5 linked regions of the Macaca mulatta genome follow. The protein of the gene in region 1 binds, or shares a complex with, the protein of each later gene. Links are inferred from orthologs where the notes say so. Each region holds a gene or a part of one and is shown in the gene's direction. Other genes may lie near its edges.

Region 1 (5,440 bases):
TAGCCGCTACCTTCACCCGTTACTGCCACAGCAAGCGCTTCTCACCCTGGGCCTGTGCCAGCTCAGGAGGGCGCCCTGAGCTGGGATGCCAAAAGGGTCCCCAGCCAGCCTGCATCCCGGAGACGAGCGCTTCTGTCATTTTCTTTTCTTCCCCTCACCCCGAGACAGAGTCTTGCTGTCTCCCAAGCTTTGCCCCGGCTGGAGTACAGTGGCGCAATCTCAGCTCACTGTAACGTCTGCCTCCCGGGTTCAAGCAATTCTCCTGCCTCAGCCTCCCGAGTAGCTGGGATCCCAGGCACCTGCCACCAAGGCCGGCTAATTTTTTTGTATTTTCATTAGAGACGGGGTTTCACCATGTTGGCCAGGCTGATCTCGATCTCTTATTTCTGAGATAGAGTCTTGCTCTGTCTGTCGCCCAGGCTGGAGTACAGTGGCGCTATCTCGGCTCACTGCAAGCTCCGCCTCCCGGATTCACACCATTCACCTGCCTCAGCCTCCCGAGTAGCTGGGACTACAGGCGACCGCCAACACGCCTGGCTAATTTTTTGTATTTTTTTTTTTTATTATTATACTTTAAGTTCTAGGATACATGTGCATAACATGCAGGTTTGTTACATATGTATGCTTGTGCCATGTTGGTGTGCTGCACCCATCAACTTGTCAGCACCCATCAACTCGTCATTTACATCAGGTATAACTCCCAATGCAATCCCTCCCAATTTTTTGTAGTTTTAATAGAGACGGGATTTAACCGCGTTAGCCAGGATGGTCTCGATCTCCTGACCTTGTGATCTGCCTGCCTTGGCCTCCCAAAGTGCTGGGATTACAGGCGTGAGCCACTGCACCTGGCCTCATTTTTTGTATTTTTAGTGGAAGTAGTCTTTCACCATGTTGGCCAGGCTGGTCTCAAACTCCTGACCTCATGATCTGCCTGCCTTGGCCTCCCACACTGCTGGGATTATAGGTGAGTGCCCGGCCACTTCTATTATTTTCTTGGTGGGAGAAAAGTGGACTAGAAACATATCCAAGTCCCAAGACATTGTGTCAGATGTGAGTGAGGCACACCCCCAGGCCCCAGTGTCCCACAGATCAGGGTCTCCCGGCTCCGTCTCCTCCCTGCCCGTCCTGCTCATCTTCCCAGGGCCAACTGCACAGTCGACCCCATTGTCCTTTTTCCTCTTCTGACCTGTCCTCCGCTCAGTGGCTCTGTCATCTCCACATCTCTGTCTTGTTCGTGTTATGGGCTATGGATGGCCCCTGGTTTCTTCTACTTCGTGTCTCAGCCCCCGGAGACAGCTCAGGGAATGGGAAAGGCCCAGAGTCACCTCGTTTGTGACAAGCCCAGGCCTCCCAGGTCCTCACCTGTTGGAGAGGAGCCCTGGGGCGGGCATCCTGGGGACTCACGGCGTTTCCTGTCCTCAGGCATCTGCAGGAACCGCACCACACTCTGGAGGCCATGCTACGGCCCAAAGTCACCACGCTGCCAGGCCACATCCAGGCCGTGTATGTGCAGAACGTGGTCAAGCTGTACGCCAACATCCTGCAGCAGAAGGAGCAGGCCGGGGAGGCAGAGGGCGCCCAGGCCGTCACCCAACTCATGGTGGACCGGCTGCCCCAGTTTGTGCAGAGCGCAGACCTGGAGGTGCAGGAGCGGGTAAGGCTGCACTCAGCGTTGGGCCAAGCCTCAGGGAGCCCTCAGTGCCTTTCTGTCCAGCGGCGGCCAGGTTGACGGGGCCTCCCTTCCTCTTCTGAAGCCACTCACTGAGATTCCTTTGTTGCCACTTGTGCCAGCTGGGGTTTGGGGTTAGTCAGTGGGACCTTTAGGTCAGTGGGACTGGGCAGGTCTCTGGGGTGCTGGGTATGTGGGGGTGCTGCTCCTGGCCATAGGAAGAGCCTGTTTCACATGCGGCGAGACAGCAGGTGTGAGAGCCTGGGGCTGGCTGTGGCTCTTTCTGGTGCCCTGCAGGTGACGTGGGTTCTGGGTTGAGCAGACTGTACACCTGTGCCAGCTGGTGCCCACCAGTTCCCAGGTCTCTGTTTTTCTGTTTGTTGTTTTGTTTTGTTTGAGATGGAATTTCCCTCCTTTGCCCAGGCTGGAGTGAAGTGATGTGATCTCGGCTCACGACAACCTCCGCCCCCTGGGTTCAAGGGGTTCTCCTGCCTCAGCCTCGCAAGTAGCTGGGATTGCAGGCACCCACCACCACACCCGGCTAATTTTTGTATTTTTATTAAAGACGGAGTTTCACCTTGTTGGCCAGGTCAAACTCCTGACCTCAGATGATCCTCCCACCTCAGCCTCCCAAAGTGCAAGGATTACAGATGTGAAACATTGCGTCTGGTCATCTGTGAGAGAGATCGGGAGCGGCATCAGCCCATCCAGTGGCTGAGGAGACCCAGCGTCAAGGCTGCATGGGGTGTGGCCCCGGGCTTCTCTGAGCAGTGGCATTATCTGGGGGCTGGCCATGATCCTTGGCCCATGGTCACTCTTGGAGCTGCCCAGCCTGGCTGTGTCTGAGTTGCAGCCAGCACAGAGGCAGGGAGCCCGCAGGGGCCGAACAAGGTGGTGCTTCTGGTGTCGGGGCACAGGCCTTATGGGAGGCATTTCTGCAGTGGGCAAAGCTCCCTGTTGTGCCCCCATCTCTGTTCTGTTTGTGGACTGGTCTTTTCCGCCGCTGCTTGTCAAGGATGACAATGGAGATGGCATGAAGGCTGGGCTCTCTGTGGGTACCTGGCTGTGCCAGAGGGCCCGCACGTCACTGTGCCAGGGGCTTAGCCACCCAGTGTCCCTGAGGGTGGCCAAATGGCCTTCCGGGCAGGTGCCAGCGGTGACTCCTGCGTCCCCCGCAGGCGTCCTGCATCCTGCAGCTGGTCAAGCATATCCAGAAGCTTCAGGCCAAGGACGTGCCCGTGGCGGAGGAGGTCAGCACTCTCTTTGCTGGGGAGCTGAACCCAGTGGCCCCCAAGGCCCAGAAGAAGGTTCCAGTCCCTGAAGGGTAAGGATACGGGGGTGGGGGCATTGCAACCACAGCCTTGACGTGGTCGCCTGATGCCTGGAGGCACAGAGGGGGCTACTGCAGCCCTCAACAGCCAGGAGGGTGTGGGGCTGATTGGAGGCCTGGGGCGGGCGCCCCTCGCTGGACTCACCGGGGCTCTCTCTGCTTCTGGGACCTGGCTGGAACCTGGGGATGCTCCCTGGGAGGTGGGCCTGCTCCACCCTTGCCTTCAAGCTCTGAGGCAGCCTGAACCTGCCGTGAGGGCCCCACTGTGACCCTGCTGTAGCCTTCCTGGGTCTCTGCATCCTCTCTAAGGGGCAGTGACACCTGCCTCGCTGGCCCTGTGTGGGTAGCAGGCACCACTGTTTGGGGTCTCACATGGCCAGGCACGTGGTGAGCCTGCTCAGGGTGGGCGCCTGCAGGCGCGTGCTCGGTCACACACACTGCCTTGTGTGACCCTCCTGTCCGGCACAGCCTGGACCTAGACGCCTGGATCAACGAGCCACTCTCGGACAGCGAGTCAGAGGACGAGAGGCCCAGGGCCGTCTTCCACGAGGAAGAGCAGCGGCGCCCCAAGCACCGGCCGTCCGAGGCAGACGAGGAAGAGCTGGCTCGGGTGAGCCGTTGGGTGCCCCTGGTGGGCCTTCGCCTCCTCCCTCCTGTCCCAGGGAGTCTTTGAGGCTCCTGAGTCCGGTGCTTGGTTCTGTTGGCTCAAGATTGTGCACCGCCGCCCTCCAGGACGCCCCAAGTGGGTATTTCATGTTATGGTTGAGTTTCATTGAGCTTCACTGAAATGGGGAGCATCTTGGTCAGGCGCGGTGCCTCATGCCTGTAATCCCAGCACTTTGGGAGGCCAAGGTGGGCATATCATGAGGTCAAGAGATCAAGACCATCCTGGCCAACATAGTGAAGCCCTGTGTCTACGAAAAATACAAAAATTGGCTGGGTGCAGTGGCTCACGCCTGTAATCCCAGCACTTTGGGAGGCTGAGGCGGGCGAATCACAAGGTCAGGAGATCGAGACCATCCTGGTTTCAGTGAAACCCCGTCTCTACAAAAAATACAAAAAATTAGCCGGGCGTGGTGGCGGGTACCTGTAGCCCCAGCTACTGGGGAGGCTGAGGTAGGAGAATTGCATGAACTCGGGAGGCAGAGCTTGCAGTGAGCTGAGATCGCGCCACTGCACTCCAGCCTGGGCGACAGAGTGAGACTCCATCTCAAAAAAAATAAAATAAAATACAAAAATTAGCTGGGTGCGGTGGCGGGCACCTGTAATCCCAGCTACTCAGGAGACTGAGGCAATAGAATTGCTTGAACCGGCCGGGCGCAGTGGCTCAAGCCTGTAATCCCAGCACTTTGGGAGGCCGAGACGGGCGGATCACGAGGTCAGGAGATCGAGACCATCCTGGCTAGCACGGTGAAACCCCGTCTCTACTAAAAAATACAAAAAAATTAGCCAGGCAAGGTGGCGGGCGCCTGTAGTCCCAACTACTCGGGAGGCTGAGGCAGGAGAATGGTGTAAACCTGGGAGGCGGAGCTTTCAGTGAGCTGAGATCTGGCCACTGCACTCCCGCCTGGGCGACAGAGCGAGACTCCGTCTCAAAAAAAAAAAAAAAAAAGAATTGCTTGAACCCGGGAGGCAAAGGTTGCAGTGAGATCATGCCATTGTACTCCTGCAGCCTGGGTGACAGAGTAAGACTCCATTTCAAAAAAAAAAAAGACATGGGGGACAGCTTCTCTAGATCCAGGAGCCCCCCTGAGGAGAACTCCATTAACCCGACCTGCAGCTGGGGGCGTGTGGGTGCCTGTGTGGGGCCCTTCCCTGACCCTGCCATAGCTGCTGTAAGACACTGCAGACACGTGCAGCCCACCCAGACCAGAAGCTGGGGAAGGTGAAGGAGGCCCCTGGACCCCATCCTCCCGAGGCAGATGCAGCCCCTGTGCCCCGTGTGGGGCTCCACCTCGCCCTGCTCACCTGTGCAGAGAGGGGAGCCCCTCCAGCAGTCCTCTCCTTTCATCCTACACCGACAGAGGGAATGCCCATGGTGGGCTGCGTGCGGGCCTTTGTGCTCCTGCATCCTCCAGGCCGTGCTTTCAGGCAGCCCTGGCAATCAGGAGGCCCTGTCCCGAGCTCAGCAGCCCCAGCCCGTCTGAGCTGCTCATCAGTAGCCGGGTAGCCCAGGCAGGTCAGCGGCCTCCGTGGGTCCTGGTCCTGACCCTGGCAGTGGAGGCATGTGTGTCCCTGCGTCCCAGAGGGTTAGCGATTCCTTTTCTCCAATATGCGCTCTTCCCAATTGCGGGCCTTGGTTTCCCTATTAGTAAAAGCTCAGTAGTGAAAATAGCCAAAGATCCAGCCTTCCCTGGTTGGGTGGCTGGTAGTGGACGTCCATAGAGAGGTATCCTGCCCGCTCGCTTGAGCTCATGCCAAGTCGTGTCCCGCAGCGCCGA
Region 2 (6,111 bases), on another chromosome or scaffold:
GGAGGGTCCCTGTCCAGCCTGGCCCCCAATGCCCTCCCTCTAGCCAGCTCATCCCACCCCTCTTGGCTAAACCTCATCTGATCCCAGGGACCTCAGAGTAGAGAGAAAGGGATCCCTACTCCCTAGGCAGTGTTGGGAGAGCACCAGGGCCTCAATTTCCCCAGGAAATCACTGCCTGACACTTCTTAGCTCCCTAGTGGGTCTCCTTCCAGGGGCAGAAATCTGGGTGTGACTACCTGGGCTCCCCTGCGCCTGTCTGGCTTGAAGACATCACTTTTGTCCTGGTGGTGGTGGGGAGGCCAAACCAGGAGCACAGAATCAGCGGAAAGGGACTTTTTAAAAAATTATTATTATTTGCAGACAGGGTCTCACTCTGCCACCCAGGCTGGAGTGCAGTGGCAGAGTCCTAGGTCACTGTAACCTTGAACTTCTGGGCCCAAGCGATCCTCCCACCTCAGCCTCCCAAGTAGCTGGAACTACAGGTGTGTGTCACCATACCTGGCTATCTTTGTAAAATTTTTGTAGAGATGGGGTCTCATCATGTTGCCCAGGCTGGGGAAGGTACATTTCTTAACCCTAGGGCTGTGTATACAGAAATCCATTTTATTACTTTTTAAACTGTGCATGTATCTGACATACACTCTTTCCTGTCTGCATTTTTTCACATTTAAAATAAAATATTTTAAAGGGGCCAGGCACGGGGGCTCACACCTGTAATCCCAGCACTTTGGGAGGCCAAGGCGGGTGGATCACCTGAGATCAGGAGTTCGAGACCAGCCATGGCCAACATGGTGAAACCCTGTCTCCACTAAAAATACAAAAATTAGTTGGGCGTAGGGGCAGGCGCCTGCAATCCCAGCTACTTGGGAGGCTGAGGCAGCAGAATTGCTTGAACCCAGGAGGCGGAGATTGCAGTGAGCCAAGATTGTGTCACTGCACTCCAGTATGGGCGACAGAGCAAGATTCCATCTCAAAAAAAGAAAAAAAAAAATAGAGTATTTTAAAGGAAGGGGAAGCAGGCTCTGGTTCCCACACAATCCCCACTCAGTGACACTGGAGCCACCCCTGGCCATGCTCTGCCATCAGAGAACCAAAGCCAGGTCCCTTCAGCCCTAAAGTGGCCATAACCACATGTATCCCCCATGAAATGTCCGAGCATGGTCCAGTTCTGGCTGAGCGGGAGAGGCAGCACAATCAGAAGGCTCCACAGGCATCCACACCCCTCCCTGGGGCTTTCCAAGAGTATCTGAGATGCCTGTAGGGTGGGAGGGAGACATCCTTCCCCTAAACAGACAACCTGCCGCAGCTTCACAGAGGTGAGATTTCAGAGGGGAGCCCCAGGCAGAAAAAGGGACTGAATTTGGGGGCAGGAGGGTCACCACTTCTGGGGTCCTTCGAAGCCCCCGCAGGTGCAGCCCTGGGGGAGAACTCCGACTATCGCAGCCTGCAGTGGCAGTGAGGATGCCCTGCCCAAGGGGCAAGCAAGGTAGGTGATGGCGGCAGCAAAGGGGCGCAGGAGGCCTGGGCCAGGCCCAGTGACCCCACCCCTCAGGCCCTGCCCCCGGGCCTCCCCCTGGACAAATCAGGTTGATTCCCGACCTCCAGAATACCCAGAGAACTGTGCTGCACGGACGCTCTCCCACAAGCCCAATCCCTCACAGCTGCACAAGGGAAGAGGCAAGAAGACCTGAGGGTGGTGGGCAGAGCCAGGCCTCTGTTCCCTTCTGACCAATCCAGGAGGGCTTCCTGGGAGCGGGGTCTCCTCCGCCTCAACTGGATCTCAGCTGAAAGGCCAGCTCATTAGAGACCGCTGTGACCTCCCTTCTGGGCACCACCCCCACAGCCCCGGCCTCCCCCCGGGGTCCCCAGGCCACCTCCTCCTTTGCTTCATCTGTAGCCAACTCCCCGGCATGAGCCCAGGCATGAGCCCGCGCGAGTCACTGCGGCCGCCGGGGCGCCGAGGCCAGTGCGGGGACATAGCAGGCCTCCCTCCTTCGGACCTTCCGCCGAGGCCCCGCGAGTGCCACAGGTTTCCACAGGGCCGGGGCACACGGACCCGCGCAGCCTGGGAGCCAGGGACCCCAATCCCAGCGAAGGGGCGCCTCGCACCCCAGTCCTCACGCGGTCCCCGAGGGCTCGCGGTGACTGCCGGGTCGGGGAGGAGGAGGGTGGCAACCCGGCCCCGCCGCTCCAGTTGCTGCAGCAGCCCCCCGGGCCTCAGTCTCCGAATCTGCCAAACGGGCGTGTGGCAGCCACAAGGTGTCTTTTCGGAAGACTCACAGGCGCAGGCGCAGACGGGTGCGCACCCCTAAGGCGCGCGCGAGCTAGGACCTCGGCCCGGGGCTGGGTGTCCCCGGCCCCGCCCCCTGCAGCCCTTCTGGAGCCAGCGCGCCTGCGTCGCGGGCGCACGGGGGGCGGAGCTCCCGGCGTCTCCGCCTCTTACCCGACGTTCCCCGCGCCCGCAGGCGCTGACGTGGCCGCCGTCAGAGCCGCCATCTTGTGGGAGCGAAACCAACGCCTGGCTCGAAGCAGCAGCTTCTGAGGTGAGGGCGAGGGGCGCGGGTCGGTGTGGGCCGCACACAAGTTGGAGCCGGCGGGGTCTGGGGACTGGCCTCGGGGCGACTTGAGGTTCGCGAAGGGCACCTCGATCCCGGCGGCGGCGGCGGCGACAGGGCCGGGCCGGGGGCGGACGAGGACGGGCCGGGCTGAGGCTGGGGAGTCGGGGCTGGGAGGGCGGGCGGGTCGGTGAGCTCCTCGCGCCCCTCACAGGTTCCCGGAGTCGCCCGCGGCCCCTTGTCCTCCTCTGCCAGTCCCTGCCCCCGCCCGTCGCCCGGAAGTCAGCCGGGACGCCAGGCTCTTCTCCAGGAAACCTGGGCTTCCTGCTTCCCTCACCTCTGCCCCTCACGTTTCCCGAGGCCGCCCGCGCGTGGAGGGTTGGGGTTAGCGGTCTCGGGGGCCGGTGGGGGTTGTGGGGCCTCCTCCACCCGAGTACAGGCTAGCGAGCGGCATCCGGGCGGACCGCTGCCTCGGGGACCGGGAAACTGAGGCTCAGGCGGCCCCAAGACACCGTCAAGGTCACGTAGGTGGTGGGGGCTTGCACCTTCGCCTCCCGACTCCATCCAGTTCGTGTTTCTTCTGAGGAAGGCACTGGGTCAGGGGCGGTGAGAGCGAGCGGGCGGGCAGTGGACAGGGACCCTGCGCCTTTCCCTGTCTGCTGAACGGAATGCGTGGACCTCCGGGGAAGCCCAGAGTGCCTCCCTTCACAACAGTGAGACGCGATTTGGGGTCAGTATGAAGTCTCCGGTGGCTTCCAGAGGGCCGGTCGATGTTCGCTTTAACTCCAGGGTGGTTTCCTTGACGTTGTCGGCAGTAGATAAGAAGGCCTCTTTTGAGCTGGTGAATCTTTAACTTGCCTGCGGAACGACCTGCTCGTAGACTCTAGGCCGCAGAGGCCGGCCCCAGCGCTCTCTCGGGGCACAGCCTGGGTGGTTACGGCTTGTGAGATTGGGTCTGTACAGCCGTGCGCACCTAGAGTGTTAGATAACCATTCCGACGGCACTTCCTGGCGGACTCCCTTTCCGTCCAGGCAGCCAGTTGCTGCTTTGCAGGAATTGAGCAGAAATGCGCTCGGAATCGCGGGCAGAAAAAGAAGGGAGGTCGGAGTCTTTGGATGGTCCCCGAAGTCGCCGCCTAGTTTAGAGCTGTAGAGTTGGTGCCACTGCCCCTATTGGAGTGGGCAGTTGTATTTCTTGTTTCAGAACTAGTGGTCAGCAGTTTTCTCTGCCGCCGGTTGTTGCAAGGCTGGTGGTTCTGGCGTTTTCCGCAGTGTGTTGGGAGGAGTGTGAGATGCCGAGGTGCGGTTGTGTGCGGCCCCTGTGGCCCTCTGCTTTTGCGTTAGCCATTGTCTAACACGTGTGACTGCATGGATGATGTCCTCATTTAATTTGAATTTTCACCAGCACTACCAAGGTAGCCAGAACCATAAGGTCCTGAAATGCCGTACTATTAGCTGGGTCCAAAATTGAGAAGAATTGAGTAGTATAAATGTTAGTATACACATCTGATTGGCCACATTGTTAGAGGTGTGTTGTCCACGTTTTCACATGTTGGTAGACCGGAGAATATCTGTCACTTGTCTTTAGGTGTATCTTGTTGAAAATAAATCCAAATCATTGCAGCAGTAGGAATATGCTGTTGCCTGTCAGGCAGTTTTTCAGATTTGCTAGTTGAAAAAGATTTGAAACAGTTGGTTTGGACAACAGCTGAGTCACAGAATGACTGTGAGTGAAAAGCAAAAACTGGTTCTGTGCCCCTCACAGTTCTGATTTTGTACATCATGTAGTCTAGCTATGCGCTGTACCTCTTGCACAATATGGAGAGGACATTCAGACATCTTCACCTGCTCATCTGCCCCTACAGACTGGACAGGCTTGAAACTATAGCTTCGAAGATGCATTTGGCCTTTCATTTTTCACTTCAGTAAAATTTAATATGGACTGTCAGCTGCTGCAGTGATCATAGAAGTAGACCTAACTAAGAGAAAAAAACCTGTTGTGCAAGTTCACACGCAAAGTATATGACTGTGGTTTCAGAGAGTTGAAGCAGTTTTTTCTAGATTCTTCAAATTAAATGTCTCATTGGTGTATTTAAACCAGCTCTTACTCACAGGCCATGCTCACCAAGCTTTTGTACACACTTCTTCCTGAGCTGTGACCATTCTCTTGAGCAAGAGGCTGCAGCCAGCCTGGGCTGGCAGGCCCATACTGTCTCTCATAGGCATTCTGTCCTCTCCCCCTGACCTTTCACCTCGGTAAACTCAAGAGGGTGAAAGGAAGTAGAGTGCACTGTCAGAGGTAATTGGGAGAGAAACAGGAAAAGGCCTTGCAGTGGGGATCTTAAATTATGAGAACTTGTGTTTTCTGTGTTGTGCCTGCTCCTCATTGGTGTGGTTGGTTGGTAGGGGTATCCTGCCTGTAGCATCTGAAGTGGTCTTTTGGAAAAGGTTTAGCCCCTTCATGTTGGGATTCCAGGATTTGCCTTCATCCTCAGGTTCGTATTTTCCTGTGGTTGTTATAAACTCTTTAAGGCATAGTTGCACTTATCACCTTACAGCTGTGCAGGTGCCCAGCACCGTCTTGGAAGGTAGTTTCACATTCTCAGGTGGGTCAGATGACCTTGTTAGCAACTTGACAGACATGTCCTGGATGTTTTTTGTTCCCAAGAGGCTCTCAGGTCCTCCCCCAGGGTCCTGTCACTCAACCATCTACAGGGATGAGAAGACAGTAAGGCTGGCTGATTAGCCATAATGTCCTTGACTAATCCTGGTTTCCTGGTTCTCACACAGTGGTAACAAGGGCTTGCAGCCGGTTGTCAGCCAACAGACTGGGAAAGGTGGTGCTTCTTACAGGCCCTGATAACAGGAAAAGCCTAAATGACATCAAGAGAAGAGACAGGGAAAGCATAAAAGGCAGATTTTCACAGGCACAGCAATTGAGAATGATTCTGTTTAGAAGGCAGACGTTCTCCCACACCCCGGAGGCCCAGGGCTCACTGTTAGTGTACAGCATGAAGTGAACGGGAGACTTGATTCAGTCCATGAACATTTCAGGAAGTTAGAAGTCTGTAGTTGTGGATTGCAAAATACATATCTGGCCTGCCTCCCATTTCCTGCCATACAACTACTAAAATACTTGGAATCTCCAAAGTGATGATGTCTTTTTGTACCCTAATGAGTTGACCAGTGACGGGCAGCCCCTACGAAACTTCAGGGTAGGGCTAGTCACGGGGCCAAGGTAGGATTAGAGGGTTTCAGCCCCACCCTCCAATTTCCCCAGAGTGGAGAGGGACTGAAGATTGAGCTGGTCACCAGTAGCCAATAATTTAATCAATCACACTAATATCATGAAGCCACACTTTTGCCTTCAGTAGTTAACAGCATCTACAGCCCCGTGTTTCCACATTTGTACAAAGGAATGTTCAGACTGAACCACACTTAAGTACAATTCTGAAATAGCATGAAATTCCTTGTTGATGGGAAATACCCAAAAGGCCTGCCTGGGCTTTCAGAGAGCTTCCAGAAAGCTGAATTCATGGAGGTTCCTGGAGGGTGGC
Region 3 (5,440 bases), on another chromosome or scaffold:
ATAGTAAATAATGATTTTTTTTTTTTTTTTTTTTTTTGAGACAGGGTCTCACTCTGTTGCCCAGGCTAGAGGGCAGTACTGTGATTTTGGCTCATTGCACCCTCCGCTTCCCAGGCTCAGGCAGTCCTCCTGGGTCAGCCTTCCGAGTAACTGGAAGTACAGACGTGAGGCACTATGCCTGGTTAATTTTCTGCATTTTTTGTAAAGACAGGGTTTTACCATATTGCCAGTGATCTGTCCACCTCATCCTCCCAAAGTGTTGGGATTACAGGTGTGAGCCACCATACCCAGCCTCCAGGGATATTTTTAAAATTATGAATAAGTTTGCATGAAATCTTACAAAGAAATTTAAATCAAATAATATATATTTAACTCCTAAAAAGAATTCGTTGAAAAAAAATAAATTACTTTATAATACTTAGTAGTTCTATGCTAAGCACTTACATGAATTATTTATGTAATTGTTATGGTAATTCTATGAGGTGCCTATATTATTGCTGTCTCTATTTTGTAAATAAGGTAACAGACTCAGAGAGCTGAAGTAACTGCTCAAAGGCTACAAGTAATAAGTGGTAGAGCCAGTATTCATGCTTATCTAATTTTGGAGTCTCCGTTTCTAACCTTACCACATTATTTAAAAATATATATATATAGCAGAGTAGATTCTTCTGTGAAATGTAATTCAGCTCTGAATTGTTGATTTCTTTGATCCAATAATACCTTATGAAAAGACATGAAGTTATATTTTTACTTCCCAATGGAAGACACCATTTTTAGTCATTATAAGATGTATTTATGAGAAGAAATCTGAGTATTACATGTGTAGAGGATTTGGGGGTAAAAGCACTATTAAAGTACCCACAATTTTAAAAATTCTAGCTTTTTCCAATCTAGAGCCTGTTAGAAGTACTGTGCTACATTGCTTCATTAAGTACAATGAGTAAAATAACAACCTAATTATTGTTGGCTACGAATCTGGCATAAAAGACCCTTATAAATCATATTTTAGTATTAAACTTGACATAATAAGAATGGTAGTTAATATTTACTAGTCATTTACTTTGTTTTGAGTACTGCGTTGGATTACCTTATTCCTTTCAACAGTCCTATGAAGCTAGTACTATTGTTTTTGTTTTATAGCCTATTAAGCTCATTAACTTAATGTTTTATAGCCTATTAACTTAAGGGGGTTATATAACTGCCTAGGACTTCACAGTAGTGATGAAAGTGGATTATGAGCCCTTACTCCAAGTTGTTTTTACCACTCATACATTTAATATAGATGAAGTGGTATTTGAAACAAAAAGTGAATCATGAAACTTCTTTTTAGTCAGTTTTCTTTATGGGTATATGTTCTTTTATTTCCTTTAGGTTCACAATATTCTTGCAGAAATGGTGATGGGGGGAATGGTATTGGAGACAAACATGAATGAGATTGTTACACAAATTGATGCACAAAATAAGCTGGAAAAATCTGAGGTAAGAATGGAAAATGCTATAGTTAAGAAAGGTTCTAAGCATGATGACAGATTACGCATGATTTGTAGCTTTCACTGTTTGTCCTTCAGTATCACCCTTTAGGTTCAGCCGTTATGCTTATTCAGTTTTTAAAAAATTGAATATACACATATTAGTATGCTAAAGGTTCTGTGACTATTATCTGCCAAACAGCTTTGTGTATTCTTCTTTTAGCCACAGTCATAGCTGCCTTGGGTAATAAGCACAATTCCAAATCTTATTGCTTAAAAGAATTATCTGAATAATGGAATCTAATATTTGCTTTGTAAAACGTCAGTAATTATCAAGGAAGTCTTAGAACTAATATTTTAAAGATATATAAATTTTGTGTTACAAAACTACATCTGGAAAGGGCAGGGACAGGAAATGGAATTCTTATAAGGAAGTAAGTAATGTTTCAAATTATAAATAAATGCCTAGCATGTTTGAGTTCACATTCAAAAAAGAAATTCAATACTTTAATCTTTTAATTCTAGATCTTTCCCTAAGATTTCACTGACAAGTTAGTTAAGTCACATATTTTAGACATTGGTACATATATATCCGTGGTTTTTATTGCATTCTATAGGATTGGTTTGTTATACTTAGCTAACTTTCTGCTGTTAGATTCAACCTTAGATTGGATAAATGAGGAACAACCAGCACTTTAGCATTGTATAAAAACCCTACTTCAGAATTTTAGTGACTCTTCTCTCAAGCACTAGTCTGAATATCAGTAGCAGGTGCTGTAGCTGAGCCGCCCGGGTTCACATTATTTGGGTTGTTTATTACCCTAGCAGAGGTTTAGAAAGAGCAATAGTTTTATCACTTGAGGTCAGGAGTTCGAGACTGGCCTGGCCAACATGGTGAAACCCTGTCTCTACAAAAAAAAAAAAAAAATTAGCTGGGCAGGTAGAGCGCACCTGTAATCCCAGCTACTCAGGAGGCTGAGGCACAAGAATCACTTGAACCCTGGAGATGGAGGTTGCAGTAAGCCAAGATCACGTCGCTGCACTCCTGGGCAACAGAGTGAAACTTCATCTCAAAAAAAAAAAAAAAAGAAAGCCGGGCGCGGTGGCTCAAGCCTGTAATCCCAGCACTTTGGGAGGCTGAGACGGGCGGATCACAAGGTCAGGAGATCGAGACCATCCTGGCTAACACGGTGAAACCCCGTCTCTACTAAAAAATACAAAAAAAAGCTAGCCGGGCGAGGTGGCGGGCGCCTGTAGTCCCAGCTACTCGGGAGGCTGAGGCAGGAGAATGGCGTGAACCTGGGAGGCGGAGCTTGCAGTGAGCTGAGATCCGGCCACTGCACTCCAGCCCGGGTGACAGAGCGAGACTCCATCTCAAAAAAAAAAAAAAAAAAAAAGATCAATAATTTTTTGATATCTCATTCACCACCCAGCTGGTTTGAGGATACTCTTAAATTTGGTATTTGCAGTCATAACTCAGATTGGAAAAAACAAACTTTATTTATAATTATTAGTGTTAAGCTCAGATGTTCTGTTGATTTAAAGTAAATATTACTATGAAAACATCAAGGTATTAAAAATACACTGGCATTAATTTACAACAGGTGAGTTCTGAAAAATTTATCTTGTTGGCATTTTAAAGGATCAGTTTAACTCAATTCTGTGCCCATTTTAATTGAAGAAAACGCAGAATGAAGAATAAATTTGAAATCTAGAAACAGTTGAAGCTTTCTTATAAAAACATTTTCCAATGTTCTCTTTTAAATAAAATAGTATTGCATTTTTATCTCAATTTCCCATTCCTGTTGGTTTCCCAAAGGAGAAGTTTATAATGGTGATTTAGAGCTAAGATTCTCTTAAGTAACTATACATTTTGTTTGTCCTATAGCCAATTTTTAAAATATTGGCTTTTGAAAGTGGAAAACATAAATTAGGTTAATAGAGAAAATTTTGTTTTGGGACAAGGAAAAAGACTCATAATTTAATTTAGTATAACTGACTTGCAATATATTATTTAGTAAGGAAAAGGTTACTGTAAACCCTGAGCTATTGCTTTTAAAGTTTTAAAAGAACTTAAAATATGTGTCATTTGTTAAACATTGCTTTGCAAAACTGTATGGTTATAGATTTTAAATGCCAAGGGACAAACAGTTATGCAATCCTTTAATAACTGGTATAATGAATGAGTATCTAGTAATTTGTGAATTCTGTATAATCATCTATAAAAAGTATGACCAGTTGTCTGGAATTTTCACCTTTCCAGGTACTTAACTCCTTTCCATTGGTGGTGGTCCTTCTTTTTCTTCTGCTACTTAACACATTTATGCCTAGTGTTCCGTTATTGGAATGCTAAGCTTGTGGGAGTTATTTGTATCCTACTGTTCAGGGTCATCCCCAAGGTCTGATTTTTCACAAAAAAAAGTTTGCAACCTCTGACATAAATGGGTTAATGTGCTATATTGACGAAAGTCATGAAGGACCTATAATTATTGCATAATGGGTATTTGCTTTTTGATTGTTGAATAAAACTTCGTTAATGAGGCAATTTTTCTTATCTATAAAGAGCAGTAAAATGTAATTTACATTTCAATGGAAATAGTTATAAGAATACTATAACTTAAAATCCATTCACAGAAATAATGCTATTTAAAATAGTTTAGAATACTGGTGATTACTTCTATTTTTCATTCCCTGATCATCTTGCATCATACATAATTGTTAGCTCGTACCAAATTAGTTTCTCTTTTTTTGTCTTTTACAAGAAAGTATGTTTTAAGTTTGATTGGAGATAAACCACAAAATTATATATTTTCTATACATGTAATGTCTGCTAATATTTTAGTTATGAAATCGGATTTCAAATCAAAGTGAGGCCATTTAGTCCTGATCATCTTTTTAAAACAGCACTGAAAAGTATGATGACTAATTTTTCAGTAGCTTTCATATATTTTAAGTATGTTTGAACGACGTCTAGCTTTATTCCAGAAACATTGAAATGTCAAAAGCTTTCATATGTTTCATGTCCATGTTACTTCAATTGGTTAAATTTATCAGAGATATTATTCTGCAGAATAATCCAAAATTACTTGAAAGCAAAGTATAAACTTTTACTAATCTTCTTACTAAATTTCAGTTAAAATTTATTATATAAGCATAAACTTAAAAGACTTGTTTGGCTGGGCGCAGTGGCTCACACCTGTAATCTCAGCACTTTTGGGAGGCCAAAGCAAGCAGATCACCTGAGGTCAGGAGTTTGAGACCAGCCTGGCAAACATGGTGAAACCCCGTCTCTACTAAAAATACAAAAAAAAAAATTATCCGGGCATGGTGGTACTTGCCTGTAATCCCAGTCGCTCTGGAGCCTGAGACACAAGAATCGCCCGAATCTGGAAGGCGGAGGTTGCCGTGAGCCAAGATTGCACCGATGCACTCCAGCCTGGGTGACAGAGTAAGACTCCATCTCAAAAACAAACACAAAAAAAGACTCTTTTAAAATCAAGAATGTCATGATTGATGAAAAGAACTGGTTATCAATATTTTACATCATTTAACTAATATTTTAGGAACATCATTTATCTTTAAAAATCATTCTGGGTATAATTAAAACACAGCTTTTGAAACATAACATGCATTTATCTAGGGGCCTTTGTCAGAAATCAAAGCTTTTATTATGTTGGTCTAAAGTTAGTACATTTCTGGTAATGGAAAAAAGTGAATCAATTTAATTCCCAATACCTAGACAGGTAGAGCAAAGCTCTCCCAGATCCTGAAAGAGAGAAGCAAAGATATACTCTGAATGTACTTCCATCTGTTCTGTTTTGATAGAAAAATGGTTTACTGTAACATTGGAATATTGGGAGAGGAGGGTTTAAGCTGGGAGGGTGATGGGATTCGGGGCAAGTATAAGAGGCACTCAGGAACCTGCCTAAGAATGAAAGGACTCCCTGGGGGTGGAGGTAGAGGGGTGGGGT
Region 4 (6,168 bases), on another chromosome or scaffold:
TGAAAGTCAAACTAATATAATAAAAGTAATAATAGCCAATCCTAAAATGTCTCCCGACAAAATTAGAGATTTGTCCCAGTACTCGAATGTCTAAGCTTTTAACTTCATGTCTACAGATGGCATTAAGTTCATATTGTATAAAGTGAATTTTGGTTGCCTAAGGAATGCTCTCACCCCAGCCTCACAAAGCACCAGGACTGCAGGTATAAGAAAGGATGCTCAGCCGGGCGCGGTGGCTCAAGCCTGTAATCCCAGCACTTTGGGAGGCCGAGGCGGGCGGATCACGAGGTCAGGAGATCGAGACCATCCTGGCTAATACGGTGAAACCCCGTCTCTACTAAAAATACAAAAAACTAGCCGGGCGCGGTGGCGGGCGCCTGTAGTCCCAGCTACTCGGGAGGCTGAGGCAGGAGAATGGCGTAAACCCGGGAGGCGGAGCTTGCAGTGAGCTGAGATCTGGCCACTGCACTCCAGCCTGGGTGACAGAGCAAGACTCCGTCTCAAAAAAAAAAAAAAAGAAAGGATGCTCAGCTAGTTCTTATTTCTGTCCCTGTACTAATTGTTTTATTTGGACTTCAATATCTTCAATTGTAAAATAGGCATAATTCTTGCCTTCCTTTGATCACAGAACTGTCCAACAAGATAATAGGAAAACACAGTGAAAATGGATCAGCATTATATATAATTATTTTTATTAAGGAAAAATCTAAGGAAATCTAAGGGTTGTATGTTTAGTAGGATGGTAGGGAAAAGTTGCATCTGTCTTCCAGTTTGGCGAAGGAGGTGCCTTATAAAGGAAATACTCTAATAAAGGGCAGAGTAGGGAAAGCACATGCCTTTAACTCAGGTAGGTCTGATTCAAAAGCCCTTGCTCTTTATTCTGCATATAGCTTGAATATTTAAAATAAAAATAGAATATCCAGAGAGTTTTTATTTTAAAGTTTATGTTCTTGGTATGAGGTAGACACGCTAACCCTTTGAGGGTAGTAGGAATACATTAAAGGCACTGGCATGGATTTGTTCACCCTCCAAAGCAGATGAACACGCCACCAGGCCCCTAAGTGTTCTTTTCTTTTCAATTGTGATTCCTTCTTTTGGAGGTGAAGAAAAGTGATACAGGAAGAAATGGGATACGTCTTGTATAATCAGGAGTGTCCCAATACTTTTCAATCAGTTTGATATGCCTATTTTAAGATGGAAAAAAAAAATCACTGCCTTTCAACGAACATTTCCAAATCATCAAAGACTGCCTGCTTCACTTTACACTTATTAGGAAGGGATATTTTAACAAATGACTCTGTAAGTAAAAGTTGCAACATCAATCACATGTGAGGCAGGTGTTAGGGGCAGCACTGTCTCCGTTGCTGCCAAAAAGTGCAAATAAAAAAGAAAAATCAACTTTTCCCAGCCATTCATCCAAATGCTGCCCCTGCAAAGCCTCGGAGGGGTCTGGGTCACTGGTAGAGGGTCCTCAAAGGTGCAGGCTTTCAGAATGTGTACGAAAAGGCAGGTCAACGTGGCCTTCCGCAACACTTTCCGAAAAATCCCCAAAAATTCTGACTTCGCCCCAGAGTAGAGCAGTTGCCGAGCCTCCTCCCCGCCATCCCCCAGGAAGAGAAGGCAGCCGCGTAAAGACGCAGCTCCGGTCCGGCCCTCCGGGGTCGCACCAGCCCAGCCTGGGCTTGCTCGCAGGTGGCGCAGGCAGCCGGCTCGCCCCCCCTCCGCCGGCCACGATTGGCCAAGGGCTGCTGGAGCCGGAGCTACACCAGACCGGCGGCGACTCGGCCAAACTGAGAGAACGTCCGGCAAGGGGTCGCGGCCAGACAGACAGCTCCCCGCGCGGCAGGTCTTGCGTGTTGGCCCCAAGCGGGCAATGAGAGACACCACCCAGCGCCGGAGCCGCGAAACCCCACGTGGGCCCGGGCTTGCTTGCAGCAGGCGCTGTCACCCTCCTCCCCAAGTCGGGCAGCGCTCACCTCAGCGCTTGCGGCGCCTCCACCTTCAGCTTTTTGGGCTTCGGCTCCTCCTCAGCAGCTGCCATCTTTGCGCTCCCACCCTACTTTGGTTCTACAGCCCACCTCTGCCATATACTCTCTGACCCCCCCCCCACCTCTTCGCATCACCGCCTTCTCTCCTCCAAATCCCGCCCCTCCAGACTCCGCCCATTCTGTGCCGCTGTCATCCACAATCATTGGCTCTATTCCTCACCACCGACAGCGAATGCCCCGCCCATTCCTGACCCCGCCTCCCCCGCCATATGGGACCCCAGACTGAGTTAGGCCGCGGATAACCGCCTGAATCTAGATGGTGAGAAACCTACCATTTTTCTAGGTCCTGGATGATGTAGAATATTTAGATACTAAACCTCAACAGACGTCTTTCCTCTCATTTACGGTCTTCCGGCATATTTAATCTTTCTAATATGGTAGACATAGTCGGTGTCTTTGAAGCTGTTAATCAGGCAATCTCCTGGGCACTCCGGCTGCGGGTCCTCGCGGCCTTCTCAGCTTCCTCAGCTTCGGTCTGGAGAGGACCCGGCGCCGAATCACTGACTGGCACAGGTGTCGGGGTGAGTGTGAGGGGCGGGAAATATGTGGATTGGGGACAGCTCCAAAACCCGGGAGTAGGCTGAATAGCTGGGGCCCCCGACTCCGATCTGGGCTCTAGGAGCGTCTTTGGTGCCGTGGGCCAGGGCCTGGCTTCCCCCCACTCCCGGCCTTCCGGGCTTTCTCGCCAGCAAGGCCGGAAGGGAGCGGTCCACCTGCAGCCTAGTGTTCTCAGGCGCCTGAGCCCCGGAGGTCGAGCTTCCTGGGTCCCCCCTCTGTACAGACGGCAGGAATCTCAGTCCCAGGTTTCTGCTCTGGAGGACAAAACCCCAAAAGGACCTGAGCGGACGTCCTGTTAATGGGTGGTGCCTGGAAGAGCCTGGGGTGAGGAATGCAGTGAGAAGGGTATTGCAGTTCTTCAGGAGAGAGGTAACGGGGTTCTAAGCTGAGCAGGTGGCAGTGAGTATGGAAAAGTGACGGGCGATGTGGCTGTTGGTATTTGGTAAATTTGAACCCGAAGCTTACAGCCTTATGTGATTAAGAAGATGGTGTCACTGACAGGAGGAGGAATTTTACGGAGTTTGAGTTTTACCGAATTTGAAAGTGGTTTACATGGAGATTGTAGAAAGACTTTTAAAAAAAAATTGTGAGAATTAAGCCCGAAAGACTTTCAAGGTGAAACCCAAAGCAGATGAAGTTTCATATAAAAGGGTAAGAAGTATTTTTGTTTAGGAGAAAGTTATCAATGACATAAAATGCTGCAATGGCCAGAGGAGGAAGCTGAAATCAGAATAGGTCGTTGGATTTTATAATTAGAAAGTCATTGAGCTATTTGAGAGAGATGCTTTAATAGTAACTGAGGAAAGACTGCAAGTGGAGACTAATCCTTCATCATTTGGTGCATGAAGCAAGATTATTGAGAGTGGCAAGGTGGGGGAAAGTTTGGGGTTTGTTTTAAAGAATACAAGATATCTATTTGGGGGCAGGAAACAAGCAACTATTTGAAGATTCAAGAAAAAGTCTTACCTCCCAGAAGAGAAGGAAAGGAATGGGATCAAGTTACAAGTGAAAGGATTAATTTGGGAAAGGCAGAGTGACAGTTTCTATTGACACTATAAGAGAAAAGAATTATGTTAAACTTACGTATCTTGGCCAGGCGCCTGTAATCTCAGCACTTTGGGAGGCTGAGGCGGGCAGATCACGATGTCAGGAGTTCGAGACCAGCCTGGCCAACATAGTGAAACCCTGTCTCTACAAAAAATACAAAAATTAGCCAGATGTGGTGGCACGCGCCTGTAGTCCCAGCTACTTGGGAGGCTGAGGCAGGAGAATCCCTTGAACCCGGGAGGCGGAAGTTGCAGTAAGCTGAGACCTCACCACTGCACTCTACCCTGAGCGACAGAGTGAGACTCTGCCTCGGAAAAAAAAAAAAAAGACCTGACGTATCTTTAGGAAAGCTCTCTTTGCAACAAGATTAGGTTTTCTTAATCTTATGATTTTTATTTCTAACCATTTAATATAATATATGGCCAGGCACAGTATGGCTCATGCCTATAATCCCAGCACTTTGGGAGGCTGAGGCAGGTGGATCACGAGGTCAAGAGATTGAGACCATCCTGGCAAACATGGAGAAACCCTGTCACTACTAAAAATACAAAAATTATATGGGCGTGGTGGCATGTGCCTGTAGTCCCAGCTACTCGGGAGGCTGAGGCAGGAGAATCGCTTGAACCCGGCAGGCGGAGGTTGTGGTAAGCTGAGATCGTGCCACTGCACTCCAGCCTGGCAACAGAGTGAGACTCCATCTCAAAACAACAAACAAACAAACAAAAAAAACCAACAATATACTGTTGGCAGACAGAGTGCAGTAGCTTACACCTGTAATCCTAGCACTTTGGGTGGGTGAGGCGGGAAAATCACTTGAGGCCAGGAGTTGGAGATCAGCCTGGGCAACATAGCGAGACTCCATCTCTACAAAAAATTTAAACATTAGCCAGGCTTAGTGGCGCATGGTTGTAGTCCTGACTACTCAGGAGGCGGAGGCAGAATGAGGCAGAAGGATCACTTGAGCCCAGGAGTTCAAAGTAATAGTGAGCTATGATTGGTCCACTGCACTTCAGCCTGGGCAGCAAAGTGAGACCCTAACTCTTAAAAAAATACATATACACATACTCTATTGGAGTTCTTTGCAGGCTAAATATTTTTAAGTAGCTCAGTACTATGTCAATTCACGAGTAGCACATGGTATTTACAGAGAAGAGGATTTCTCCCTCCCTTTGGAAATGACCTCTCTCCCATTACACAGAGAAGGAGAACCATCATCTGCCTGCAGTCAAGTATACAAACCTTCCCTTCAATCTGAAGAGTAGAAAGTGTTCCTTCTCCTTAGAGAAGGCAAACTCTTTCACCTAGTCTCCCAGTAGCATGCTATCCTGCTGTGTCAGGGTCCTCTTTCCGTTTTTCCCTCTCTCCTGTGTCAGCTTTTTCTCCTCTATTCACACCTTTCCTTTAGCATTTAAATGTATTCTTCCTTCACTTTATGAACTGCTGCATTTATTTTCCTATCTTTTTATCCTCTTCACAGCTAGACTTCTTGAATCTACTCTACATATCTCTATTTTTTTTTACACCTCTTGCTGTTTATTTCCCAGCCCACTTATTTCTAGCATTCCACTGAACTACCACCAAAACTACTTTTTTTTTTTTTTTTTTTTTTGAGACAGAGTCTTGCTCTTGTCACCCAGGCTGGAGTGCAGTGACATAATCTCAGCTCACTGCAACCTCCACCTCCTGAGTTCAAGTGATTCTTCTGCCTCAGCCCCCCGAGTAGCTGGGATTACAGGTGCCTGCCACCACACCCAGCTAACTTTTGTATTTTTAGTAGAGACAGGGTTTCGCCATGTTGGCCAGGCTGGTCTTGAACTCCTGACCTCGTGATCCACCCGCCTCAGCCTCCCAAAGTGCTGGGATTACAGGTGTGAGCCACCACACCTAGCCCACCAAAACCACTTTTACCAAGATCACCAATGTCCTCTGTGTGTTAAATCATGCAATCTCAAAGCAGATAAAAACCGCTTCTTGTGAGGTGAAAAAAATATATATACTCTTTTTATGTATAGAGCACAAATACATTACATAAACAGAGAATATTCTGTGGTATTAAAATTTTATGGTGATATTAATTAGCTTCAGTTAATTATTCCACATTTTATTCATCAGTCATAACATCTGGTACCCCTAAATATATACAACTATAATTTGTCAATTTACAATTAAAAAAGAAAGAATAATAGAAAGCTTTATGGGTGAGGAGTTTGATTGGCAGGGTGGTAAGAAGATGAAGTCTAAAAAGGCTTCTTAGCAGGCGTTAAGGAAAGAAAGTTAAAAAACACTCTTAAATCAACAGACATTTTCAATTCTTTTTTGTTGTTGAGATGGAGTCTCGCTCTGTCATCCAGGCTAGAGTGCAGTGGCACCATCTCGACTCACTGCAACCTCTGCCTCCTGGGTTCAAGCGAGCAGCTGGGATCATGGGTACCCACCACCACACCCAGCTAATTTTTTTGTATTTTTAGTAGAGATGGGATTTCACCATGTTGGCCAGGCTGGTCTCAAATTCCCG
Region 5 (6,099 bases), on another chromosome or scaffold:
TTTTTAGTGATAAAAAGAAAGTTTTATCTATTTCATCCAGGAATATATGCTCTGTATCTTATACGTAATATTCCAGAGAAAAAGTTACCTATACCTGTTTTTTGAAGAATAGATATTCTTAATATCCACACCATTCAAGGACAATGTAAAAACAAAACAAAACCCCAAAAAACAAACCCCCAAAACCCAAAACCCCAATATTGTAGGTCAGTCTCCTACCTGAGTCTGTGTGAAAAAATAAAAATATTACAAAGTAAAATCAAGCAGTTAATTAAAAATAACAGACTCAAGGACAAAGAACTCTTCAAGTCCATCAGAAAAACTACTCAGTGTAAAAGTGGATAAATAGGTTCATATGCAATTCCCAGGAAATAAAATGCAAATGGAGTAACCACATAAAATATTCTCAAGTTCATTATGACCATGAAAATGAAAATTAATTACCATACAAATAATATTCCTTCATATCATATTGATGACAATAAAACATTTTTAGAAAGCTAAACGTTTGTGAGAATGTGAAGAAAGAAGATTACACACTGCTAAAATTATGCTGGCAAAAAATTTAGGATATCTGGTAAAAGTGCACAAACTCTAAAACCAAGAAATTCTATAATCAGGTATGTGTCAGGTATTTTCCAGGCTATGTGTATATCAATGTTCTCCTTTTACAAATAAAGTAACCAAAGCCTAACTCTTTTTACTATTAATATATATAAAATTACTTAGAATAGTTTGTGGTATATATTAAGGATTATATAATAATATATAGTTATCTATGATCATCCCCATCTTCATTATCAATAGTCAGTTGTAGATGAAATGTTATTAATTAACATCATTAATATTGACAAACACATTTTAGGTGATCATCATTGGATCTCCGGAGCAGTATTCTAACAGTCGAATTAAAAACCTGCCAATATTTAACCAGACGATGAAGTTTGGAGGACATTCCTTCTTCTCCCACCCAGAGCCACGCTCGTGCGTGCTTCCACAGTGACAGTCTGACCTTTTGAAACTTGGAGATCATACTTTGATCCTTGAAAACGCCCCACCGCCTTCCCAGAGGCTGCCGGTCTCCACGTTCGCGTTCTACCTGGTAGAATCCCTTGACAGTTTCAGTACCTGGCCGCCAAGGCTTTGGGAGTTAACGCCTACCTGGACGGGAGGCACTGGAGAGAAGAGAGGGAAGGCTCTGAAACCCAACCGAGAAGGCGGGCTGGGGGAAGTCACTCCTGGAAAGAGGTTTTCTCGGGTGCCAGCACCCGGAGAGAGCTACTCCGGGGCCAGGCAAGCATCCCGCCTAGGCTCCCTAGTGCATATTAGTGAGTGACACGACGGCGACAGGACACAGAAGTGTCAGATGACAGCTGCGCCTGGCGCGCAAGGTGGTCCATTTTATTTTTGGTAGCTAGACGCCAGTAGGACGCACCACTTCAGCTCTAAACTGGAACTGGTGGTCCCAAGATGTTTTCTGTTCTTTTTAATTTTTTTGAGACAGGGTCTCGCTCTGTCGCCCAGGCTGGAGTGCAAAGGCGCGATCTCAACTCATCGCTACCCCCTCCTCCTGGGTTTGAGTGAACCTCCCACCTCAGGCTCAGTAGCTGGGACCACAGGCGCGAGCCACCACGCCGGCTAATTTTTATATTTTTTGCAGAGACAGGGTCTCGCTATGTTGCCAAGGCTGGTCTCGAACTCTTGGCCTCAAGTGATCCGCCCGCCTCGGCTTCCCGAAGTGCCCTACTGGCGTGAGCCACCGCGCCGGTCTGCCTCCAAGATTTTCGTTGCAAGGATGGAATGGTCGCTTCTGTGCGGCTCCTCCAAACCATCGTTGGGAGAGGCCTCCTTAAAGTCTGGGAGAAAAGTTGTTTCGGGTGGATATGAAAGTAAGGCAAAGCCGGAAAGAGGAGAGTAGCCGAAACAAGCAAAGTGATCGCGATGGGTTTAGGAAAGGTGATCTGGCGTGCTAAATGGCGTTTCCGGAGAAATCCGAAAACTACTGCTTTACAAAAGTATACTAAAGAGCTGCCCTGGGTCTGGAAACCCCTTAAGGGATCAAAATGGATGCAATGGGTATCCTTCTCCAATGACACCCCTCACGGGCCGGGAGCCTGGCAGTTCGCCACCCGCTGCCTCCCTTTCCGCAGCCAGGCTCGCAGCCGCTCAGCTACCTCTAAAGCCCGGAGCAGGGAAATCCGCGCAGGCCTGGACGGCCCGGGTGGTATCCTGCCTTCCCGCACACTGCGCATGCGCAGGGGGTGGACTGCTAGGTCGGCTCAGGGAGCGGTGACGAGTCCGGAAGCGCCTGCGCGCGCTCCTCGGTACGCGAACTAGTTTTGTTCGGTGCCCTCTGGACTGGAACCTTTCGGAGAGAACCCCCGGCAGGACCAACCCCGCACCCGCCAGCACCGCGGCAATGTCCAGCAACAGTTTTTCTTACAATGAGCAGTCCGGAGGAGGGGAGGCGACGGAGCTGGGTCAGGAGGCGACCTCAACCATTTCCCCCTCGGGGGCCTTCGGCCTCTTTAGCAGCGATTTGAAGAAGTGAGGAGAAAGGTTTGGGGTACGGGGATGGGAGGGAGGAGCTGGGGACTCGGAGGAGTGGGCGCCGGGTGGGCTCCCTGGAGTGGAGCGGGGTCGCCCTGAGATCTGAGCAGACCTGGGCGGTAACGTGTCCCACGGGTGGGTGGGTGGGGTTGGTTGGCGGTGGTGGGAGTTGGGGGAGTTTGGGGCGTGTGTGTGTAGGGGTCTCTAGTAGTTTTCAAACTTTAGTGAAAAGGAAACCGCTTGGTGAGCTTAGATCCCACCCCTGAAGACACTGATTGAATTGGACTTGGTCTGGGCTCGGGAATCTGAATTTTGAGCATAGTCTTCTAAGTTTATTTATCGTTCGCCGGATCAGACTTTGATACATTCCCTGATTAGGGTGAAACGAGTGTTTTGGTCAAGGTGAGAGTGCGAGTGTTGCTTGTGGGAAGTTATTTTGTGACCCCGGAGTGTAGGAGGAGAGAGGTGGGTTTAGGCTGTTTGAATGGACAAATTGGTTTATACCAGTATCAGTGTTCTTGGATTATATCCTTTGCACTACAGACAAAAACACCAATCCAAAATAAGCATATGAATAGAAAATATTTTAAGAGTGTTACTATGAACAAATCCTAAACTTTTACAAATTAATAATGTGAAGTTTAAAAACGAATGTTAAGATACACTTAGTTTTGTAAAAAGTATCACCGAGAAATGGAAAGAAATCCCAAGTTGTTTGTTTGGGGGGTGGGATGGTGGTATTGGGGTGGTGGTAGTGGTTAAATTTACCACAATTATCATTTTTACGTTTCTCTTATTTTAAATCTTTCATTACTAAGCAATATGGTCACATAATAGTCTGTCGCTAAATTCATGCTAAATTAAGGTAGAATAGCTGTGCTGGTAGCTTTGCAGATATGTTAGAGGGTATAATTAAAATTTAAATTAAACGTTACTAACAATATTGGGTAGTCTAGAAAGTGCTACTACTTGAAATTGGGATTACATTTTGGCTGTATTGAGGATCAAAATCATATAGATAGTACGTACGATACAATATTTTCGTTTCCTTTTTCCCAGGTTAGAAAAGTTTAAAAGTAAGGTAACTTTTCATTTTCATTTCATATAATTTTTCATTATATGCATTTGGTGATCCATTGTTCTAGAGCAAGTACGGAGCTTGTTGCCTTTACTGTAAGCAAAATGTTTAGACTGAATTAACCTGTAAATTGGCATCAATCTGTTTTGCAAATTAATTTACTTTTATGGTTTGTGAACACCCCGTGAGGGGTGTCATTGGAGAAGGATACCCATTGCATCCATTTTGATCCCTTAAGGGGTTTCCAGACCCAGGGCAGCTCTTTAGTATACTTCTGTAAAGCAATAGTTTTCGGATTTCTCCGGAAACGCCATTTAGCACGCCAGATCGCCTTCCTAAACCCATCGCGATCACTTTGCTTGTTTCGGCTACTCTCCTCTTTCCGGCTTTTCTCTTATATTTTTGTCAGATTTGGGGCCAGGCACGGCAGCTCTCGGCTGTAATCTCAGCACTTTGGGAGGCCAAGGCGGGCGGATCACTTGAGGCCAGGAGTTCGATACCAGCCTGGCCAACATGGTGAAACCGCGTCTCTACTAAAAATACAAAAATTAGCCGGGCGTGGTGCCTCGTGCTTGTAATCCCAGCTGGAGGCTGAGGCAGGAGAATCGCTTGAACCTGGGAGGTGGAAGCTGCAGTGAGCCGAGATCGCGCCACAGCACTCTAACTTTAGTGGGTGACAGAGTGAGACTCCGTCTCAAAAAAAGAAAAAAAAAAGGAAAAAGATTTTTGTCAAATTTTGACCTGATTTGGAAAAAAAAACCCAAAAAACTTATGGCCATTGACTCTGTGACCAGTGCTCTTGAGGTGACCTAATAGGTTGGATTTAAAATAAAAGTAGCTAATTGATTAGAGGTGGTATGTAATATATGCAAATAACCATGGTTGAATTGTGTTCCCCAAAAGATATTTATTGAGTGTTTGTGGCACCACTTTACATTTATTATCTCATTCAGTTTTCTTAACAACCCTGCAGGTTATTACCAGCTGCTCCCACTTTACACGTGAGGAAATTGGAGCGTGATCGTTAACTTGGGAAAGGCCGCAAAGCTAGAACATTGAACTGCCTGAATTTGAACTCAGAGGCTCTAATATTAGAGCCCATTCTCTCAAAAGTTTCGATGTCTACTTACTACTTGATGAAATGTATGGTATTTTTATTAGTGAGCGCATACAACTCACGAAAGCTTTAAAACTTTAAATAGCTCTAAGTAGTACCACCAGAGAAGCTTCCAGGGATTAGAAACATTTGGCTGTTGACCTGCAATCTAATGGAATTGTACAGAAACAAGGAGACCCCTGTTCTGGAAATGGTCATTAAATCTCTCTTGAGTCCACATTTTCTCATTTATAAAACTGTAATATTACTTGCCTTTTAAAAAAATCGAATGACATAATTTATGTAAAAAACTTGAAGCTCACCCTGTTTCCTCAGCTCTGGTTTTTAATGGTTTACTCTGATGAAATAGTTTCAAGTTTACAAAAAAGTTGCAACAATAGCACTGAGAGCAACCCTTTTGCAGATTTACCAATTAAAAAAATTGCTACATTGCTTGCCTACTGTCTCTGTCACTCACTCTCCCCATGCATATTCAGGCACATATACGTATTCATGTTATGTGTCTTCTGAACCATAGGAGACTCGGTTGTACACATCATGTTCTTTTTTTTTTTTGAGACGAGTCTCGCTCTGTCCCCCAGGCTGGAGTGCAGTGGTGCAATCTCGGCTCACTGCAAGCTCCGCCTCCTGGGTTCACGCCATTCTCCTGCCTCAGCCTCCCAGGTAGCTGGGACTACAGGCGCCCGCCACCACGCCCGGCTAATTTTTTGTATTTTCAGAAGAGACGGGGTTTCACCGTGTTAACCAGGATGGTCTCAATCTGCTGACCTTGTGATCTGCCCGCCTCGGCCTCCCAAAGTGCTGGGATTACAGGTGTGAGCCACCACGCCCGGCCCCTACATCATGTTCTTTTAAACTTAAAATCTCAATGTGTAACTTTTAAGAACAAAGATAGTCTCTTACACAACTTACAGTGTTGATGGATTCAGGAAATTTAATGTGTGTACAATCTATAGTATGTAATCTAATTTTATCGTTTGTTCCAATAAAGGTGTTTTCTTTTTTCCCAAGAATTTTTTTCCTCAAGTACAGGATCCAGTCCAAGATAATATATTTAATTTAGTTGCCATGTCTCTTTAGTCTTCTTTAATCTGGAGTAGTTCTTGAGCCTTTTTTGTCTTTCACGACCTTGACATATCTAAGGATTGCAAGCCTATTATTTTATTTTATGTTAATCAGTTTTTGGGTTTGTTGGTGTTTCCTCATGTTTAGATTCAGGTTATGTATCCTTGGCCGGAATACTACCATAGGTGATGCGTGCTTCTCAAACTATTACATTTGGAGGCGTAGGGTGTCCATCTTCATGATGTTAATTTTCCTAGTCACAGGGTTGTCCAGTTTCTCTATTGTATCA

Evidence for each region.
Region 2: the proteins of AP3D1 (region 1) and ARF1 are in contact, whole or in part, in a cryo-EM structure (PDB 9C5B), measured with the Homo sapiens proteins. The link is inferred for Macaca mulatta from reciprocal best matches to the Homo sapiens genes AP3D1 and ARF1. Residues at the interface, in NP_003929.4 of Homo sapiens: Lys48, Asp50, Phe77, Ile80, Glu81, Ser84, Asp107, Met110, Leu111, Thr112, Thr113, Asn114, Gln115, Arg117, Lys118; in NP_001019397.1 of Homo sapiens: Tyr35, Ile46, Pro47, Thr48, Ile49, Gly50, Phe51, Asn52, Val53, Glu54, Trp66, Lys73, Ile74, Leu77, His80, Tyr81, Gln83, Asn84.
Region 3: the proteins of AP3D1 (region 1) and AP3S1 are in contact, whole or in part, in a cryo-EM structure (PDB 9C5C), measured with the Homo sapiens proteins. The link is inferred for Macaca mulatta from reciprocal best matches to the Homo sapiens genes AP3D1 and AP3S1. Residues at the interface, in NP_003929.4 of Homo sapiens: Leu18, Gln19, Val22, Arg26, Cys60, Thr63, Tyr64, Gln66, Met67, Leu68, Gly69, Tyr70, Asp71, Ile72, Ser73, Lys87, Phe88, Thr89, Arg92, Ile93, Leu96, Gln100, His103, Tyr126, Leu132, Thr133, Ser136, Tyr161, Lys164, Lys165; in NP_001275.1 of Homo sapiens: Met1, Lys13, Pro14, Arg15, Leu16, Ser17, Lys18, Phe19, Pro22, Tyr23, Glu25, Asp26, Gln28, Gln29, Arg42, Asp43, Glu44, Asn45, Val46, Cys47, Asn48, Phe49, Ser80, Glu81, Ser82, Glu83, Leu84, Gly85, Leu87, Asp88.
Region 4: the proteins of AP3D1 (region 1) and AP3M1 are in contact, whole or in part, in a cryo-EM structure (PDB 9C5C), measured with the Homo sapiens proteins. The link is inferred for Macaca mulatta from reciprocal best matches to the Homo sapiens genes AP3D1 and AP3M1. Residues at the interface, in NP_003929.4 of Homo sapiens: Lys29, Glu388, Gly389, Thr390, Thr391, Arg393, Glu429, Arg432; in NP_001307192.1 of Homo sapiens: Ser25, Ser27, Asp30, Tyr31, Glu34, Pro52, Asp104.
Region 5: the proteins of AP3D1 (region 1) and AP3B1 are in contact, whole or in part, in a cryo-EM structure (PDB 9C5C), measured with the Homo sapiens proteins. The link is inferred for Macaca mulatta from reciprocal best matches to the Homo sapiens genes AP3D1 and AP3B1. Residues at the interface, in NP_003929.4 of Homo sapiens: Lys352, Leu442, Ile446, Ser471, Tyr483, Trp487, Glu491, His517, Ala520, Val521, Gln524, Asn525, Lys528, Val561, Gln562, Ser563, Ala564, Leu566, Glu567, Gln569, Glu570, Arg571, Ser573, Cys574, Gln577, Leu578, His581, Ile582, Leu585, Lys588; in NP_003655.3 of Homo sapiens: Asn75, Lys466, Lys467, Gln470, Val494, Ala497, Ser498, Trp501, Leu531, Leu534, Gln535, Asn538, Lys542, Asn567, Tyr568, Asp569, Asp572, Arg573, Arg575, Phe576, Ile577, Gln579, Leu580, Lys586, Gly588, Ala589, Leu590, Ser591, Tyr593, Lys596.

The regions. Positions count from the first base shown.
Region 1 is NC_133424.1:2,850,360-2,855,799, reverse strand, and holds part of AP3D1 (AP-3 complex subunit delta-1), read left to right. Parts: intron 1-1,422; coding exon 1,423-1,654; intron 1,655-2,847; coding exon 2,848-2,993; intron 2,994-3,467; coding exon 3,468-3,609; intron 3,610-5,434; coding exon 5,435-5,440. UniProt on the Homo sapiens protein: Part of the AP-3 complex, an adaptor-related complex which is not clathrin-associated. The complex is associated with the Golgi region as well as more peripheral structures.
Region 2 is NC_133406.1:85,833,558-85,839,668, forward strand, and holds the start of ARF1 (ADP-ribosylation factor 1), read left to right. Parts: upstream 1-2,502; 5' UTR 2,503-2,543; exon of another isoform or gene 2,544-2,628; intron 2,629-2,704; exon of another isoform or gene 2,705-3,223; coding exon of another isoform or gene 3,224-3,285; intron 3,286-6,111. UniProt on the Homo sapiens protein: Small GTPase involved in protein trafficking between different compartments. Modulates vesicle budding and uncoating within the Golgi complex. In its GTP-bound form, triggers the recruitment of coatomer proteins to the Golgi membrane.
Region 3 is NC_133411.1:124,872,208-124,877,647, forward strand, and holds part of AP3S1 (AP-3 complex subunit sigma-1), read left to right. Parts: intron 1-1,371; coding exon 1,372-1,479; intron 1,480-5,440. UniProt on the Homo sapiens protein: Part of the AP-3 complex, an adaptor-related complex which is not clathrin-associated. The complex is associated with the Golgi region as well as more peripheral structures.
Region 4 is NC_133414.1:75,471,263-75,477,430, forward strand, and holds the start of AP3M1 (AP-3 complex subunit mu-1), read left to right. Parts: upstream 1-2,206; 5' UTR 2,207-2,304; coding exon 2,305-2,307; intron 2,308-2,472; exon of another isoform or gene 2,473-2,930; intron 2,931-6,168. Other genes in the region: ADK (adenosine kinase), read right to left, coding at 1,977-2,041. UniProt on the Homo sapiens protein: Part of the AP-3 complex, an adaptor-related complex which is not clathrin-associated. The complex is associated with the Golgi region as well as more peripheral structures.
Region 5 is NC_133411.1:84,651,574-84,657,672, reverse strand, and holds the start of AP3B1 (AP-3 complex subunit beta-1), read left to right. Parts: upstream 1-2,300; 5' UTR 2,301-2,419; coding exon 2,420-2,547; intron 2,548-6,099. UniProt on the Homo sapiens protein: Subunit of non-clathrin- and clathrin-associated adaptor protein complex 3 (AP-3) that plays a role in protein sorting in the late-Golgi/trans-Golgi network (TGN) and/or endosomes.